Notamacropus eugenii: one gene and its partner. The protein of the gene in region 1 purifies or fractionates together with the protein of each later gene. This does not show direct contact. Links are inferred from orthologs where the notes say so. Each region holds a gene or a part of one and is shown on either strand. Other genes may lie near its edges.

Region 1 (7,291 bases):
AAACTTACATGATCTACCCCTAAAGGTTGTTGTGAGGGCGGCAGTGGGGTGGCACAGTGGATAGAGTACTAGCCCCGGAGTCAGGAGGACCTCAGTTCAAATCCCACCTCAAACACCTACTAGCTGTGTGACCCTGGGCAAGTCACCCAACCCTGACTGCCTCAAATCCTGCCCCCCAATCCAATAACAATAATGATGATACCTGTTAGTGTTTACCTGATGGGGCTGTTTTGAGGCCCAAATAAAGCAATGGTGTGAGGAAACCTTAAAGTGCTACGTGTATTTCCTGGATTGGATAGGAATTTAGATTAGATGGCTTCTCAAGATCCAATAAATTTTAAGTTTATCCCATGATGTTAAAATATAAAACAAAGAAAAAGTGATGCCTGAGTGACAGAATTCTTTACAATTCAAACCAAGGCCATTTTCATAACTTTGTCATTACTAAGAAATTTCAGTTCTGTGTTTCAGATGTAAACAAGGGATCTCTGTAACTTATCAAGCTCTCACTGCTCTGATGCACTCACCACTGGAAGCACACACGCTGGCAGAGCAGGAGCCAGTGCCAGTGAACACTCAGGGAGCGTTCACTCTTTAGAGATGAGGGAGTGAGGCCCATCATCATCTGGTACTTTTCAGATGATACAGATAACACAGCTTTTCCCTTTAAAAGAATGATGCTTTCGGAGGTGGGGCCTCCTGGGGGAACAGCACAGTAAGTGGTCTCTTATGGACTAGCGTTCTTATCGAGATAACCACAGGTTTCAGTGTGAACTGCTGCCCACCAACAGGCAAGAGTCTTCAAAACTGCAAACCCTTCCCCTTTCCTCTCTCCAACAGCTCTAGAACCATGAACAAAGTGACTCCGTCATTATTTTGGGATGGAATGGGTCCATTTATTGCACAACCCTGTAACATTCTAGACTAAAGGGTCTCCCTGGACATCACTCCCTCATGTGGGGACTTGCCAATGCCAATTCTGTGAGGTGAGACTTGGTTTTTTTCTAAGACTATCCCCAGAACTTATAGCAGATGTTAGCACCTAGTAAGTATTTAATAAATGCTCATGCATGCATTCATTCATTCATTTAACACGATCAACTAAACGTGATTTGTGGAGGTTCCCTTAGGCAACTCCAGGCCTGGCTGCTAAGGCCCTAGACAATACTCAGTGGGATCTACTGCTTCCTGATCACACACACCCAGCTATTTCAATGGTACAGCGAACTCCAAGATGGGAATTTCTTCTAAGTCAGCACCTTCTCTGACCCACGGTCCGAGGGCCTGGAGCACTGCCTGGCTTAGAGGCCCGCTCTCTGGGCCACCTGAATGAGCTGTAGTAGTCCTCCCTCCTGGCTGGGTCCCAAGACTGTTCTGGACCGTCCTCTTGGCCATCTGGCCAAGACACCTTCTGGCTGTGGCTCCCACAGCACAGTCTCCTGTCTCTTCCCACCCCCTCCCCCTTATCTGGGAGGATTCCTTTAAACCTTGGCTCGGGACCTGCCTTCTGCATCAGAGATGTCAAACTCTGGCCCAAAGGACACACCTGAGGGCGGCCTCAAACCAGATTAAAATGTGATTGGGAAATAGCGAGCAACATGAACAAAACCGCCACGAAACACGGATAATGTATTTTAAAATGACGCCCATCTGCAGCCCCCCCTTCTACAGTTCCGTGGGGGTTACCTCTATTTGGGCTGGACTCCCCCGGCCCAGGTGACCCCGCCCCATCTCTGCATCTCTGCACAGACTCGGGGTGAGCTCCCAGAGGACGAGGCGCTTCAGGTTTGGGTCTGTGCTCCGGTCACTTCCCCCCACCTGGAGACAGGAGGTACAGGCCCCCCCACTCCCAGCGCGCTCCGGAGCCCTCCGCAGACGGCAGAGGCCGGCCGGCGGGGCCCTCCCCAAGCCCGCACAGGCTCCGGAGGGGAAGGCGGCGATGGCCGGGCAGCGGGGACCCTGGGCCCGGCGCTCCCGGAGCGGGCAGACGGGCAGACGCGAGGACCCCCTGGGGCCGAGGCTCGGGCCTCTCCAAGTCTTACGGGGGCGCACCCCGCTCGGACGGGTCGGGGCCCCGGCGCCCCCTGCGAGGTGACACCTCGGAACGACTTTCCGGGAGAAGCGAGGCGGCTGCGCCTGGTCCGAGGGCCACACGTGGGCGGCGTGTGTGTGGGGGGCACCGGCCTACGGACCCCACAAGGGGCCGGACCAGACCTAGCCGAGGGCACAGTGCGCCCCGCGGGGCCCCACCTCCGGGTGATCCGCGCCGGGCCACGCGGCCTCCGCCCCCGGGGGTCACCGGCCCTCGGCCTCCCCCGGCCCGGGGCGCTCGGGGCGTGACCGTTGTCCCCACGGGGCGGGGCCGTTGGCCCGAGCGGCCCCCGCGGGTGGCCGGCCGGCCGGTCCGGGGGCGGAGGTGACCGGCTCTGCCGGGGTGGGGGGCAGCCGGGGTCGGGGACCTCCGGGGACGCCCCCGGGTCTGGGGCTGCGGGCGCGGGCCCCGCTCACGGTCACGGACGGTCGCGGCTCCGCAGCCCCACGGGCCGGCGGACGTATGGGCCGGGAACTCGAGGTAGCGGCCCCCGGCCCCCTCCCCACAACCCCGGCGGGCGCGCCAGGACAGCGGGGCCCAGGCCGGCCTCATTCCGCTCCCGCCTCCCCCCACCTTCCGCCCGCGGCGACCTCGGCGCTGAGTCGGCGGGGCCCGGCCCGCGGGGCTCGGGAGGCGCCCGGGCTGGGGGGCGGTCCCCGGAGGGTCTTGCGCTCCGTCCCCGGCGCCCCTCACCTGCACTTTCCGCCGCCCCGCCGTATTCTGTCGGTGATGCGCCGCCATCTTGCATGTTGACACTCCCGCGTCACTTCCGGAAAGGAGGGAGGATGTCCCGCCTCCTTTCCTGGGCGGCCCCGCGGCACCAGGCTCCCTCTCGAGGGCAGTTGCCGGCAGAGGGCGCGAGCGGGCCAAAGGGTCCTCACGAGCCGCGGCCTGGGGGCGGGTCCAGAGCGGGGGGAGGAACCGCGGGGGCGGGGCCCTGCGGCGGCGGGGCGGCCGGGGGCGGGGCCAGGGCGCGGCCGACAACGAGGCGGAGCGGGGTGGGCGGGGGCAGCGCCGGGCCAAAGGGCAGCGGGGCGGGGGGAGGCAGCAAGGGGGAAGGGGGCGGGCGGTCCCGGAGGGGGCCCGAAGGGGCGGGGGTCCAGGTGTCAGGAAGAGGGTGAGAGGGGGCGCGGCAGTGCGGGGGCGTGGGAGAACGCGCGACCGTCCTGGGGGGGCGTGGGGAGCTCAGCGGGGCGGTGGAGGGGCCGGGGCCTCCGCAGAGGAAGGGAGGGGGGCGGGGCGGGGGCGGGGCTTCCTAGGGAGCTGGGGAGAGCCGGGCGGGGGGAGGGGCGGGGCGGGGAGAGGAAGGAGAGGGGGAAGGGCCGAAGAGGGATCGCCCGGGAAGGCCAGCTGCGGTCACTCGGGCACCTCGAGGGCCTGGCCTCTGCCCTTTGTGAAGCCTCGGGCCGCAGCCTGACACCCGGGCAGTGCGTGCCTGCGCGTCACAAAGGGACGGAGGGAGTGGTGAAGGGCCCGGAGAGAGGCAAGCGAGGGGCCCGGGAAACTAAGCTACCCCCTTCATGGACCTCATTGGAGTGTGGGCCCGCCCTCGGGCCGTCTGGAGTTGGGAAAGGCTTGTAAGCCAGCATGCTAGGAGGTAAGCCCGTGAGGGCAGGGACCCCCCCCAACCCCCCACTGTGTTTCTAAAGGTCAGCTCAGGCCTATAAATGATGTCTTCCTGGAGAGCAGGACTTAGGGGCCTCGGGGTCCAGCTCCCCGGTGGTACCGCTGATGTGGTGCCACCACTCACCTGCCGCCCTGCGCAGGGCACCAGGCTGGTGGGGTCACCCTCCCTGCGGGCTCTGGGCCTCTTTTACTGGTTTGCCCCAATCTCTCTGAAGGTGAAGGGACGCGATGCCATGTGCCAGGAAGGGACACTGGCTGCCCCCGAGGGGCACTGCCCAAATCACTGGCTTTACTTTGGACATCTTCTGATTCACTCTGAGCATGTTGCATCCCCTTACCCTAGAAGGTAGAATTCTGGGCTTGGCATCAAGACGAACCAGACATGCAGTAGCTGTGTAACCCTGGGCAAGTCCCTTAACACTGCCTCAGTTTCCTCATCTGTAAAATGTGTGGGAGAAGAAAACAGCAAACCCCTTTAGTTTCTTTGCCAAGAAAACCCCAGATGGGGTCATGAGGAATTGGACATGACTGAAATGACTTAAGGACTGTAGCCTTGAAGAACGTTAACCGGAGGGGTGTGTGTGCCTGGCACACCCCGAGGTCACTACCACGGGGCTGAGCCATTTCCCAGCCCTGGATAGTTGCCGTCATTTTACACTGTCTTCCTTTTGTGAGTGACCATCTATTTGTCAAGGAACCTTTTTATCTATGAAACAAATGGCTTCACTGGGAATTGTGATTGGAGCAAAATCGTTGAATATCTAATGGTGAAGGGCCCTTGAAGGCCCTTGACTCATTGCACTTGCTAGTAAGGGCGACCCCCTCACCCAGCCGCTGCTGGGAATCTTCCAGGGCAGAGAGTTTCTCCTTACATCTGTGTGCTCCTTTCCGACTCCCAGGGGTTACATTTACAGGATGTAAGGAAGGATGTAGGAGCGATCCAGCCGATGGAGCCGTGTCCTTCTTGGCTCTCAACGTGATGCTTTTTTTTTTTTACTAGCCTAGTACACACCGTTAGCTTTTCATCTTTTGGTCTGCCATCTCCTATAGATGGAAGTCACAGTCACGCATGTGTGATACCATGTATTCTTCACAGCATAGCTTGATCTTCACCTGCTCCCTCAATAGTAAGATTGACTTCTGGAAAGTCGCATCCATTTATTTTGACAAGGGAGAGGCCTACTGACCACCAGAGCCCAGAGGATGGCAGGAAAGAGAAATTTGGCATTGATGAGACCAGTGGGCATACTCCATGGAGAGCTGAGACACGATTCCCAGCCAAGGTGACTCCATGCCTAACTGAGATGACCCATTACCCAGCAGAGAGGAGCAAGAGAGAACATGAACCGCTTTGAAGCAGTCACACTGATCTGTTGGGTGCCTGTCATCTCTGCTGGGTATCAGGACTCCAGACTTCTTCCTGTAATCTCTGCCCAATGGGATGTCTCCACTGCTCTATCTGCCTGCTGGGCTTAGTATATAGCTTCAAACCTTCATGTCCCGCCAAGCAGCAAGCAGAAGCTGACAGATATGACATTCTAAGATGAGATCTGTTCTCTTGATTGTTTTTCTCTTGTGGTATACTTGAGGTTCCTGTCCCAAGATTCCTGTATGGCACAGGAATCCCTAAAAGCCATTTCTAGAACTCCATCCATCCAAACCCTATAGAAGCTTGGTTGAAACTGGATTAAAGTGATTCCCCTTTGCTCCCATAATGCACTCCCCCCCCCACAACATATTGACATGCCAATAAACTGAAGGATGGGTGCAGTGTGTCTGCCCAAGATGGGTGACTAAAGTCCTCAGCCTCTCCTTCCACATTCCTGCCACTCTGAGGCATTTCCCAACTTTCGTGCTGCCTTCCTGCCAAAACCTTGTTAGTCTCCCTACAAAGTTCAATAGGGGCATGTATGTAGTTTGATGCTTGTAGTAAAAGATCAATTTGAAAAGAACAGATGACTGAGAAATGGGGTGGCAATGGTTAAAATGAAGTAGACCATGAGCTCTGAATGTATTCAGGGTGTAATGGGGCCACCCAAAAGACTCATGGGTTCTTTATTTTTCCTATAAGAAGCACAGTGGCAGTAAGGGGGAGATTCTGGCCATACTCTGGCCTAGTCACAGGGTAGTGGGGGGAAGAATGCCAAATGGGCATGTGCTCAATATTTTCAGTTATTTGAAGGACTGCCATGTGCAGGAGAGATCTGACTTGACTTTACTTGGCTCTGGACTGGAAAATAGTACCAGGAACAGTTCCTGGGAGGCACCTTTTGGCTCAATATAATTGAAATCCCCTAATAATTAGAGATGTCCCAATGTAGAATGGGGTTTCTTCCTAATCACCTATGTCCTAGGGACTGGGGTACAATAACAATGAAATAATTCCTATGTTCAAGGAGCTTATATTCTAAGGGTAAAGAGAAGTATATACATCTGTGTGTATATATATATATTATATATCTGCAGTCCAGACTGGACCAGTCTCTAACTTGGGAACTTGGGAGCCTAAACAGAAGAGGCGTGTCTGGAATCAAATAGTGGCTTAATTAGTTTCAGGGTGAGGAAAACACTCTCTAGTGGAAGTCCTGAGTAGAAGGGCTTAAATGTGTTGGGGTAGAAGCAGTGCTTCTATACATACTGGGTTGGACGATAACAATCATTTTTAGGTCTTGAGGTACTACGTTCCCATGGGACTTGTATTGTTCCACGTCTTGAGGGACATGATTACTCTGGGGTAAAAAACAAGAATTCTGTGAGAGGAACAGGAGAACAGTACAAGGAACAGGGATTGTGAGCATGTCAGAGACGTGATGGATGTTGGCCGTCAGGTCCCTGGGAAATAGTGGGAGTGAATACCTGGTACTCACTTTGCCAGAGGGTGAGAACATCCAGAGTGCCAAGGACTGTTGTTATTGCCAAGTTCAGGGCACAGCCTGCTTGTTGGGCCTTAGCTCTTGGAAAGTATTTTGACAATATGAGTGGTTGGTTGTAGTCCTTTGTTTTCACAGAAGACCAAAATGACATCACTATGTCAGGGTCAACGTGCGGTGTGTCTGCCCATAGCTGATCAGACCAATAGGAGCTTAGAAGGCTTTACCACAGGTTGGGCACAAATGGTCCATATGAACATTTAGAGTCGATTTGCTCAGCTCATTTTTTTTGAGCTACTGCAATTCTGGTTTGCTTGTAGAACATAGCACCTTTTTTGATGAGGGCATACCATACTGGATGGTCCTATCCCAGTGTCTCTCATGAGAGACCTTCAGAGTGTCTTTTTATCTCTTCTTCTGACCTCCATGAGAGCACTTCCCTTGTGTGAGGACTCCATAAAATAGTATTTTTGGTATTTGGTATTTGAACAGCATGGCCAGTCCATTGGAGTTGTACTCTCTGCTGTAGAATTTGAATGCTTGGAAGTTCAGTTGGTCCTTCAGAAAGGAGCTCGGTGTCTGGTACTTTCTCTTGCCAATGATCTTCAGAATCTTCCTAAAACAATTCAAATGGAAGTGATCTTACCTTAGACAATTACCAGCTGTGTGACCTTTAACCCGGTTTGCCTCAGTTTTCTCATCT
Region 2 (7,547 bases), on another chromosome or scaffold:
AATTCTTCCTCTGCTATAACTACATTGGATTTTCTTTTCTGAACTGTCTGTTCATTTTCAGGCTCAGGAAGTTTATTCCCAATTTCATTTTCCTTTTGTTTCAAGAAAATTGATGGTATTTTGAGAGTCCTTTTCCCTTTAATCCTTGAAATAGGCTTGGGTGGCACAGCATGAATTTGTGCAAGAACAGTCACTTTTTTAAGGGGCAGCTGCTGGGAACTTTCACTGCCTTCAGGCTCACTAGTGTTCCCACTTTTACCAACATCATCAGGAGTATCGGACATTTTTGGTCCTTGTATGTGCTCCAATGGGTTTACTTCCTGACTTCTTAAAAATTCTTCATAGGATACAGTTACCGTATTATCATTTACCTGGGCTGTGTCAGACACATGAACTCCAGGGCTGGAATCACTTGCAAAATCCACAATTTCACCAGTTTTGAGTTCTGTTTTTTGCTTATTGTCCTTGGGTTCCTTTTTGGATTGTTGGCTGGATTCTTTTTCTAATGATAAATTTCTAGTTAGGTCTTTATCATCTTTGTGCTTCCTTTTCCTTAATTTTTTGCAGTCATTTTTTGTGATGCTTTGTTCAGCGTTTACTTTCTTTCTGTCTTTTTGGGAGGACGTTGTGCTTGATTGCTTATTGTTACTCTGACTACTTTCTGAGAAGGGCTCTACATTTTTCCGAGTAAGTAAACCAGAAGTATCACTGTCACTACCCACAAAAACATTATTTAAGCTTGTTTCTTCTCTGCTGTCATCACTACTAATAATTATGGGTTCATTTTCCAATTTTTTAATATCATTAAGTTGTTGAGATAAATTAATTCTCTTTCCCCTTGACTTAGGCTCTAAATTGGAGGAATTGTTCAAAAGTGTTTTCCCTTCTTTGCTATCATCAAAATGCAATGGTTTAGATGACTGTATCTTGCATTTCTTAGCTATAGAAGACTTTTCATTTATGGGTGAAGTCCTTTTAAAATAATCCAAGATGTTATTAGATTTTGGTGGGGAGAAAACTTTGTCTCCAGTTTTCCTTATAGGTGACATATATTCAGTAATGGTTTTACAGGAAGCTCCATCATCTTCTTTCCTTTGCTTCTTGCATGGCTTTAAATTTAAAAAAGAAAAAAAACCATGTAACTAGGGGAAAATAAAATGTAAAAAAAAGAATATAAGTTCTACTTATAATAACAGTAAGAAGAAATTAATATTTTTATCTAAATAAACAAATGAATGAGTAAAAATATTTTTAGAATAGAAATTACTAATTTATGTATATCAAATAAGGAAACTACATCTGAAAAATAAGAAAACATTAGAAATACCTAGAACACAGCAACTTATATGACTTATGGACTGTTTTAGGGGAAGTCATTTGCCCCAATTTGTCTTGAAAGTTGTTGTCTTTTGAACTAGTAGCCAACCTTCTTCCAACACAGTAGTGTTAAAGGAGGTTTCTGAAGTAACGTGTATCCTTTTTGTGCCTAGTATACATTAGTAATCTGCTTATATTTAACAGAAATCAGACACCACAGTATTGGTGCCTCACTTTCTGTTTTATGTTTCATGGAGAATCTTTACAGTTCTGTTTCAAGTATTTACCTAAAGAGTTTTTAATAAGAAGCAAAACTCTAAACCAAAATTGCTTTTCACCAGTCTCATCTCTTCCAAGGTGTAAATACTAGCTGGGAGTCCAAAAGACGGGGAGTTGGGGAGAACCACTGAGCTTGATTCTAATTATCTCTAAGTAAAGTTGATGTCTGGAAACTCACATATGTTGACCAGAAGGAAAACCATTACTTGCCAAGTATTTTACATGTAACTAAACGTACAGGTGTGACAGATCAAACGGAAAGACTGCTCCAGTCACAGAAGGAAAGAAATGCTTCTCTCTCAGTTGCCGTCAGAATTCAAAACTCCCTAGAGATGTTTCACTAAGAACAAAATTCGGCCACTGCTTTCCGTCACGACCTGGCTGGGTGACCCCCTGGTCGCCGGGCCGACGTTCTCCTGGCAAAGCTGTCATTTGTGGAAGAAGGGGAAACTGGCAAAGGCAGCTTCGGTCATTTTCCCGATCACCGCCCTGCGCAGCCTTCCCTGGGGGGCCGAAGCCCCTCTTCTCGGCTAAGAGGGAAGGGTCTAGGGGTGAACGTGGGGTGGGGGGAGGCAGACCACGTGATTAAAGGCCCCCCAGAGAGACGGGCTGGGGGCTACCGGGGATGGGTGGGGATCCAGACTCCAGACCGAGTGAAGGGTCCCAGCTGCGGGGTGGAAGGGAGCTCTCATTGTATGGGCGAGGAAACTGAGGCACAGAAAGCACGAGCCACGCGTGGTGGACATCACCATCGAGATCGGCTCCGGACCCGGGGCCTCGGGGTTCCCTCCTCAGACGGGCCTTTGAGACCCCAGAGAGCATCTGTTAAGTACCTGCTGTAAGTGCAATGGGGGAAGGAAGGGTACAGCCCCCTCCCCCAGACTCGACTGTACTCCGCGCCCGCCCCACCCCCAGGGCAGTCCAAGAGCTCCGGGGCTAGCTGCCCCGGGAGGGGGGGAGCTCCCCGCCTGGGGCAGGGGGCAAGGCTCACCTGGATGTCCAAGTCCTTTCCGGGCGCTCGGGCCGGAGCCGCCGCAGCCATGGCCAGCACCCCGACCATGGTCCCCGGCTCGGCTCCCGGGCTGCCAGGCCCTCAGGAGCGGACGGCGCCGGATCCGGAGCCGGCGCGCGCGGGTACCATGACGTTCGGGACCCGGCTCTGGGGAGCGCGGGACGCGGGAAGAGACCCCAGCAGAAAGCGCGCGGACGCGGGACCCCCAAGCCAGAAGCCGTGCGCAGGCGTCTCCCCCTCCCCCCGCCAGCGGGCGACCCTCGAGGGTCTGGGCGCCTGGGCTGCACTGGGGTCCGAACTGTGGGAGGGCGGGGGGAGGGTGCAGGCGGCTGGGGAGGCCCGAGCTCCGCGGACAGAGATTCTTGTCAATTGGGTTTTCGCGCCGTCCGGGAGCGCCGGAAGCGGGGGCGGGGCAATTACGCAACGTCCGGGACGGGGAGTGGATGGCGGCCCGCGAGGGCCAGAAACCGGCGCCGTGAACGGAGGCGACCCTCGCAGTCACTCCGCCTCGCTCTGGGGTCCGAAGGTCGGGCACCCGCTGAAGGGCTGAGAGAGCGAAGGGAGTCCGGAGCCATCCGGTCAGATCCCCTCGTTTACGGAGGAGGAAACTGAGCCCCGAGGAGTGAAGGGACCTTGCCCGGGACCCTCCGGAAGGAAGCCCGCCGGCTGGCCACGGGCTCTCTGCGGGGCGTCCGCCCGGAGACCCAGACGGGTCAACCCTCTACCCGCCGCGCCCCCCAGCCCGGCAGGACGGAAGCCGCCGCCCGGAGCCCTGCAGGGCAGCTCTCCTCAGGAGCTCCTGCGTCTCCCCATCCCCCCGGGTCAATGGCAGAGCCCTCTGCGCGGCATTTAAAGCCCTTCCCAAGCTGTTTGGGGTGCTCTCTTTAATTAGCACAGATGTGCAGGGACAGCGCAGGCCGCTGCGGGGAGGCTCCCCAAGCCCCTCCCGGCATTCCCCCGCTGGACTTGCAAAGGCATAAGGCCTTAAGGTCTCGAAATCCCGGAGAGGAGTCGGTGGCCCGCAGCCCGATACCCAGCCCTCCTCCCATGCCCTCAGGTGGTTAGGAAGGTCCGAGAGAGGCAGAAGTTTTGTTCATTGTCTTTGTTACGTGCCCTCCTAGTGGATTGTCTGCGGGCCATCTACGAGAAGCGATCGGTCGGAAGGAAGGAAAAGCAGATTTCTATCGTGTTAATATTTCAGAGAGAGATTTCATTCTCTTTTTCGACACCCTGAGATCAGTATTGAGTTGGGCGCAGGGCCCCCCCATCAAGAGCTGTGTGAGCTCGGACTGAAAGAATTGGGAGCCTGATGGAAGAGCTTGATCTCTGAGGCATTTGGGAAAGTCATCTCGTGCCCACTGAAAACCCTCCAATGAAACTAGGTGGCCGATAGTAGTCAAATTATTATTTTTTAAAAAATTTAATTCTGAATGTAAATAAGAAAAAAGGGCATTTCCATATATGCAGCAGTAGACCAATAAAAAAGAAAAGGATTCTCCATGGAACTGCAACTCTCCATTTCCTAAGCTTGCTTTTCTTTAGATATATGATCAATTCCACAAGTTATTTTCAAAACTACCCTGCTTGTACTTCCATCTGAAGTACACTTCTTTATATTTTCATCTCCTCATTTTAAAAAAAGATCTTATTTTGGTTATAATAGCACTAACCCTGCCTTCATTTCCCATGATGAAAACAGAAAGAAAAAGGAACCACATCAGGACGTACAATGAGCTGCCTAACATAGTTCCTCCACAAAAATCTAGGAAATACACGAGAACAAATCTAAACACAGGCCAGGAACTTGCCAAGCTCAGACTAGGCGACAGTGATCAGACTTTGCCCTGATTTTGGCACCACTCAAAGTGTTCAGGTCCCCAGCCTGAGCAGCTCCCTGAGATCCTACAATTACTCAATAGTCAACACTCCAAGAAAGCAGTAGCAGGACCCAAGAGACTAAACCCAGACATTCTTTCCAGAATTATGAGAGCTTTGCCCTAACAAAGTCTGAAGTAAAGAAGTAGGCTGAAAGGCTGATGAAACAAACAAAAAAAAGAATCTTCCCATAAAAAGATGTCATGGTGACCAGGATGCTTAGGACACAAACCCAAAAGAAGATAATGACTCCAGAACATCTACGAGAAAACAAAAGAAAAACATAGCTTAGGCACAAGTTCAACTATAATTCATGGGGAATATGAAGCAAATAGTTTTTTTTAAAACATGTTTTTAAAATATTTTTAAAGATGTTTTCATGAATAAAATGAGAATGTGGGGGGATGGAAAAAAAGAACAAGAAAGAATTAGAAGGGGAATGAACAGCTACACGCAAGCTTACTCAAGCAACAAACTCCCCCAAAATTAGAATGAACCAAGTAGAAGTTAACAACTCCCTGAACCAACAAGAAATATCAAAACAAAGTCAAAAGATTAAAAAAATATGAGAAAATGTAAGACATTTCATAGCCAGAACAACTTACCTGGAAAACAGATTGATGAGATAATTTGAGAATCATTGAAACCTGAAAGCCATGACCCAAAAAAGAGTCTAGAGATCAAATTTCAAGAAATCATAAAAGACAACTGCCCAGATTTCTTAGATCAAGAGAACAAAGTGAAAATGGAACCCTCTGGTCCCCTTATGTAAAGGAAACACCAAAAATGAAAATTCCCAGGAACACCATATCCAAAGTCTAGAATTTTCAGGTTAAAATAAAAAAATACTGCAAGCAACAAGAAAGAAAGAATTCAGGTATTGAGGATCTATAGTCAGGGTTGTAGATAATTTAATAGCTACCACTATAGGAGAGTGGAGAGCTTGGAATTTGATGTTCCAAAAAGGGAAAGATATAGGCTTACAAACAGAATAATTTACCCACTGAAACATAATGCTAGAGGGATAAAAATAGATCTTTAATGAAATAGGGGAGTTCTAAGCATTCTTGAGGGAAAAAAAATCAAGTTGTATAGGAAAAATACAAATACAGAAGTCAAGAGAAATATGAGTAAACAATCATAATGGACTAAACAAAGATGAACTGTTTACATTTTAATATAAGGGGATGATATATGTGTCCCATCAGAACTCATCAAGAGCCATGGAGTCTAAGAAGCCAGATGGCCTGGAAGAGGTTTTGTCATGTTTTGATAGTCTTAGAAGAAGAAAGGACAGGGAAAAGGAATATACTGGGGAGGGAGAGGAATGGGGAGAAAGAGAGAGAAAGGAGAAGGAAAATTATGTATTCAGGATGCTGGAATAGAAAACTATACAAATAAGGAGGAAGAGGTTGGAGGAAGTAGGTAACACTTGACCCATACTCTTATCTGAACTGGTTAAAAGAGGGAAGAACATGCAAACACGATTGGGCACAGAAATACATTTCACTCAACAGGGTAACAGGAAGGAAAGGGAAAAGAGAGAAAGGATAATAAAGAGTATTTAAGGGAGGGATTAACCCTAACCAAACCAAACACTAAGATAGGTAGAACAGATTATGAAGTTGAAAAGAAAAAAAAAGAAAGAGAACCTGTGAGAGGGCTCTGTGTGAAGGAAAGAGAAGAGGGGCAGGAGAGCAGAAGCAGACTATACCAAACCTAGGCCACTGGTGCTGAGCACATTCCTCCTCTCTCACTACCTCCTTATTAGGGGTGTGGTGTGTATGTGTGTGGGGGAAACATGGAAAGATATAAAAGGATAGGATGAAAGGAAATATGCAATTAATGATCCCAACTGTCAATGGAAATGGGATGAAATCACTCATAAAACAGAAGAGAATAGCAAAATGGATTAGAAAGCAGAATCCAACAATATGTTGTTTACAAGAGAAACATATTTGAAACAGGTTCACACGGAGTTAAAATAAGAGGTGTGAGCAAATCATGCTTGAACTGAAGTAAAGACTTAAGAACTCTGATCAATCCAATGATCAACCACAGTTTCATAGGTTTGATGATGAAGCATGTACCCAACTCCTGACAGAGGGGTGATAGATTCATGGTACAGAATGAGACATACATTTTGGATATGACCAATGTGTTTTTGCTTTACTATGCATATGTATTACAAGAGTTTTGTTTTTCTTTTTCATCAGCAAGGAGGAAAATGGGCAGAAGAGAAAATTAATGTTTGCTAGCTGACAAAAGATAAACTAAAATAAAAATTACATAAAATAAACTAAACCAGTCAGTGATAACTACTGTTCTTGACTAAGAGACTTAGACTCATTAAAACTAAGTGTGAACTTTGCAGAACCACTGTTTATAGACATTTTATATTTCACCTTGGTTCTGCATTGTTTCCTTCAAAGTCAGTTTCTTTAGGTAAGCTGGTGCTGGGACTGGGGTTTTTCTTGTCAATGACTGACTTTTCTGAAACTTTTCAGAAACCTTTCTTGTTGCTGAGTGGAGTCAACTCCACTTATTGGACCCAAGACCTCTGGGTGTCTTAAACTTATAAGGTCTTCTCCAAACCTTGAAAATTATGTATTACACAGGAAAGTAAACACAAAATAGAAAAGGCAATCAGGAAGACACTCAGTAACAGTCTGACCCTGGGAAAGTCACTTAACCCCACTACTTCCAAAAAAGAAAAAAGAAAAGGCATCTAGGGCCCAGATAGAAGCTGGCCTAGCTGAGACCATGTTCTACATGAAAATGGTCAGGAGGTGGGGTAACAGAGGACAGCCTATCGCTCCAACCTGCTTTGGGGATATATAGCACTATATTTGTTGCATGGCATAATTAAAGCAGAGGACTGCGCTAGAAGCTTTATCTTCTTTTAACTCATGAAGCACTGTCTATCTCACTTCTACTGTAATAGGCAGAGGGAAAACTAAGAAATCCTTCTGGGTTTGCCATGTCAAACCAAAATTCCAAGTCCTTTCATCACTTCGTCACCAGGGAGTTCATCAACTTTAACACACCCAAATGCTGAGTCATA

Evidence for each region. Proteins that work in one complex are often made in the same cells at the same time.
Region 2: the proteins of WDR48 (region 1) and ATAD5 purify together in Homo sapiens (affinity purification with western blotting; 3 studies listed by BioGRID). This does not show direct contact. The link is inferred for Notamacropus eugenii from reciprocal best matches to the Homo sapiens genes WDR48 and ATAD5.

The regions. Positions count from the first base shown.
Region 1 is NC_092874.1:473,656,771-473,664,061, reverse strand, and holds the start of WDR48 (WD repeat-containing protein 48), read right to left. Parts: upstream 3,016-7,291; 5' UTR 2,834-3,015; coding exon 2,786-2,833; intron 1-2,785. UniProt on the Homo sapiens protein: Regulator of deubiquitinating complexes, which acts as a strong activator of USP1, USP12 and USP46. Enhances the USP1-mediated deubiquitination of FANCD2; USP1 being almost inactive by itself.
Region 2 is NC_092873.1:311,746,730-311,754,276, forward strand, and holds the start of ATAD5 (ATPase family AAA domain-containing protein 5), read right to left. Parts: upstream 3,012-7,547; 5' UTR 2,657-3,011; coding exon 2,588-2,656; intron 1,110-2,587; coding exon 1-1,109. UniProt on the Homo sapiens protein: Has an important role in DNA replication and in maintaining genome integrity during replication stress.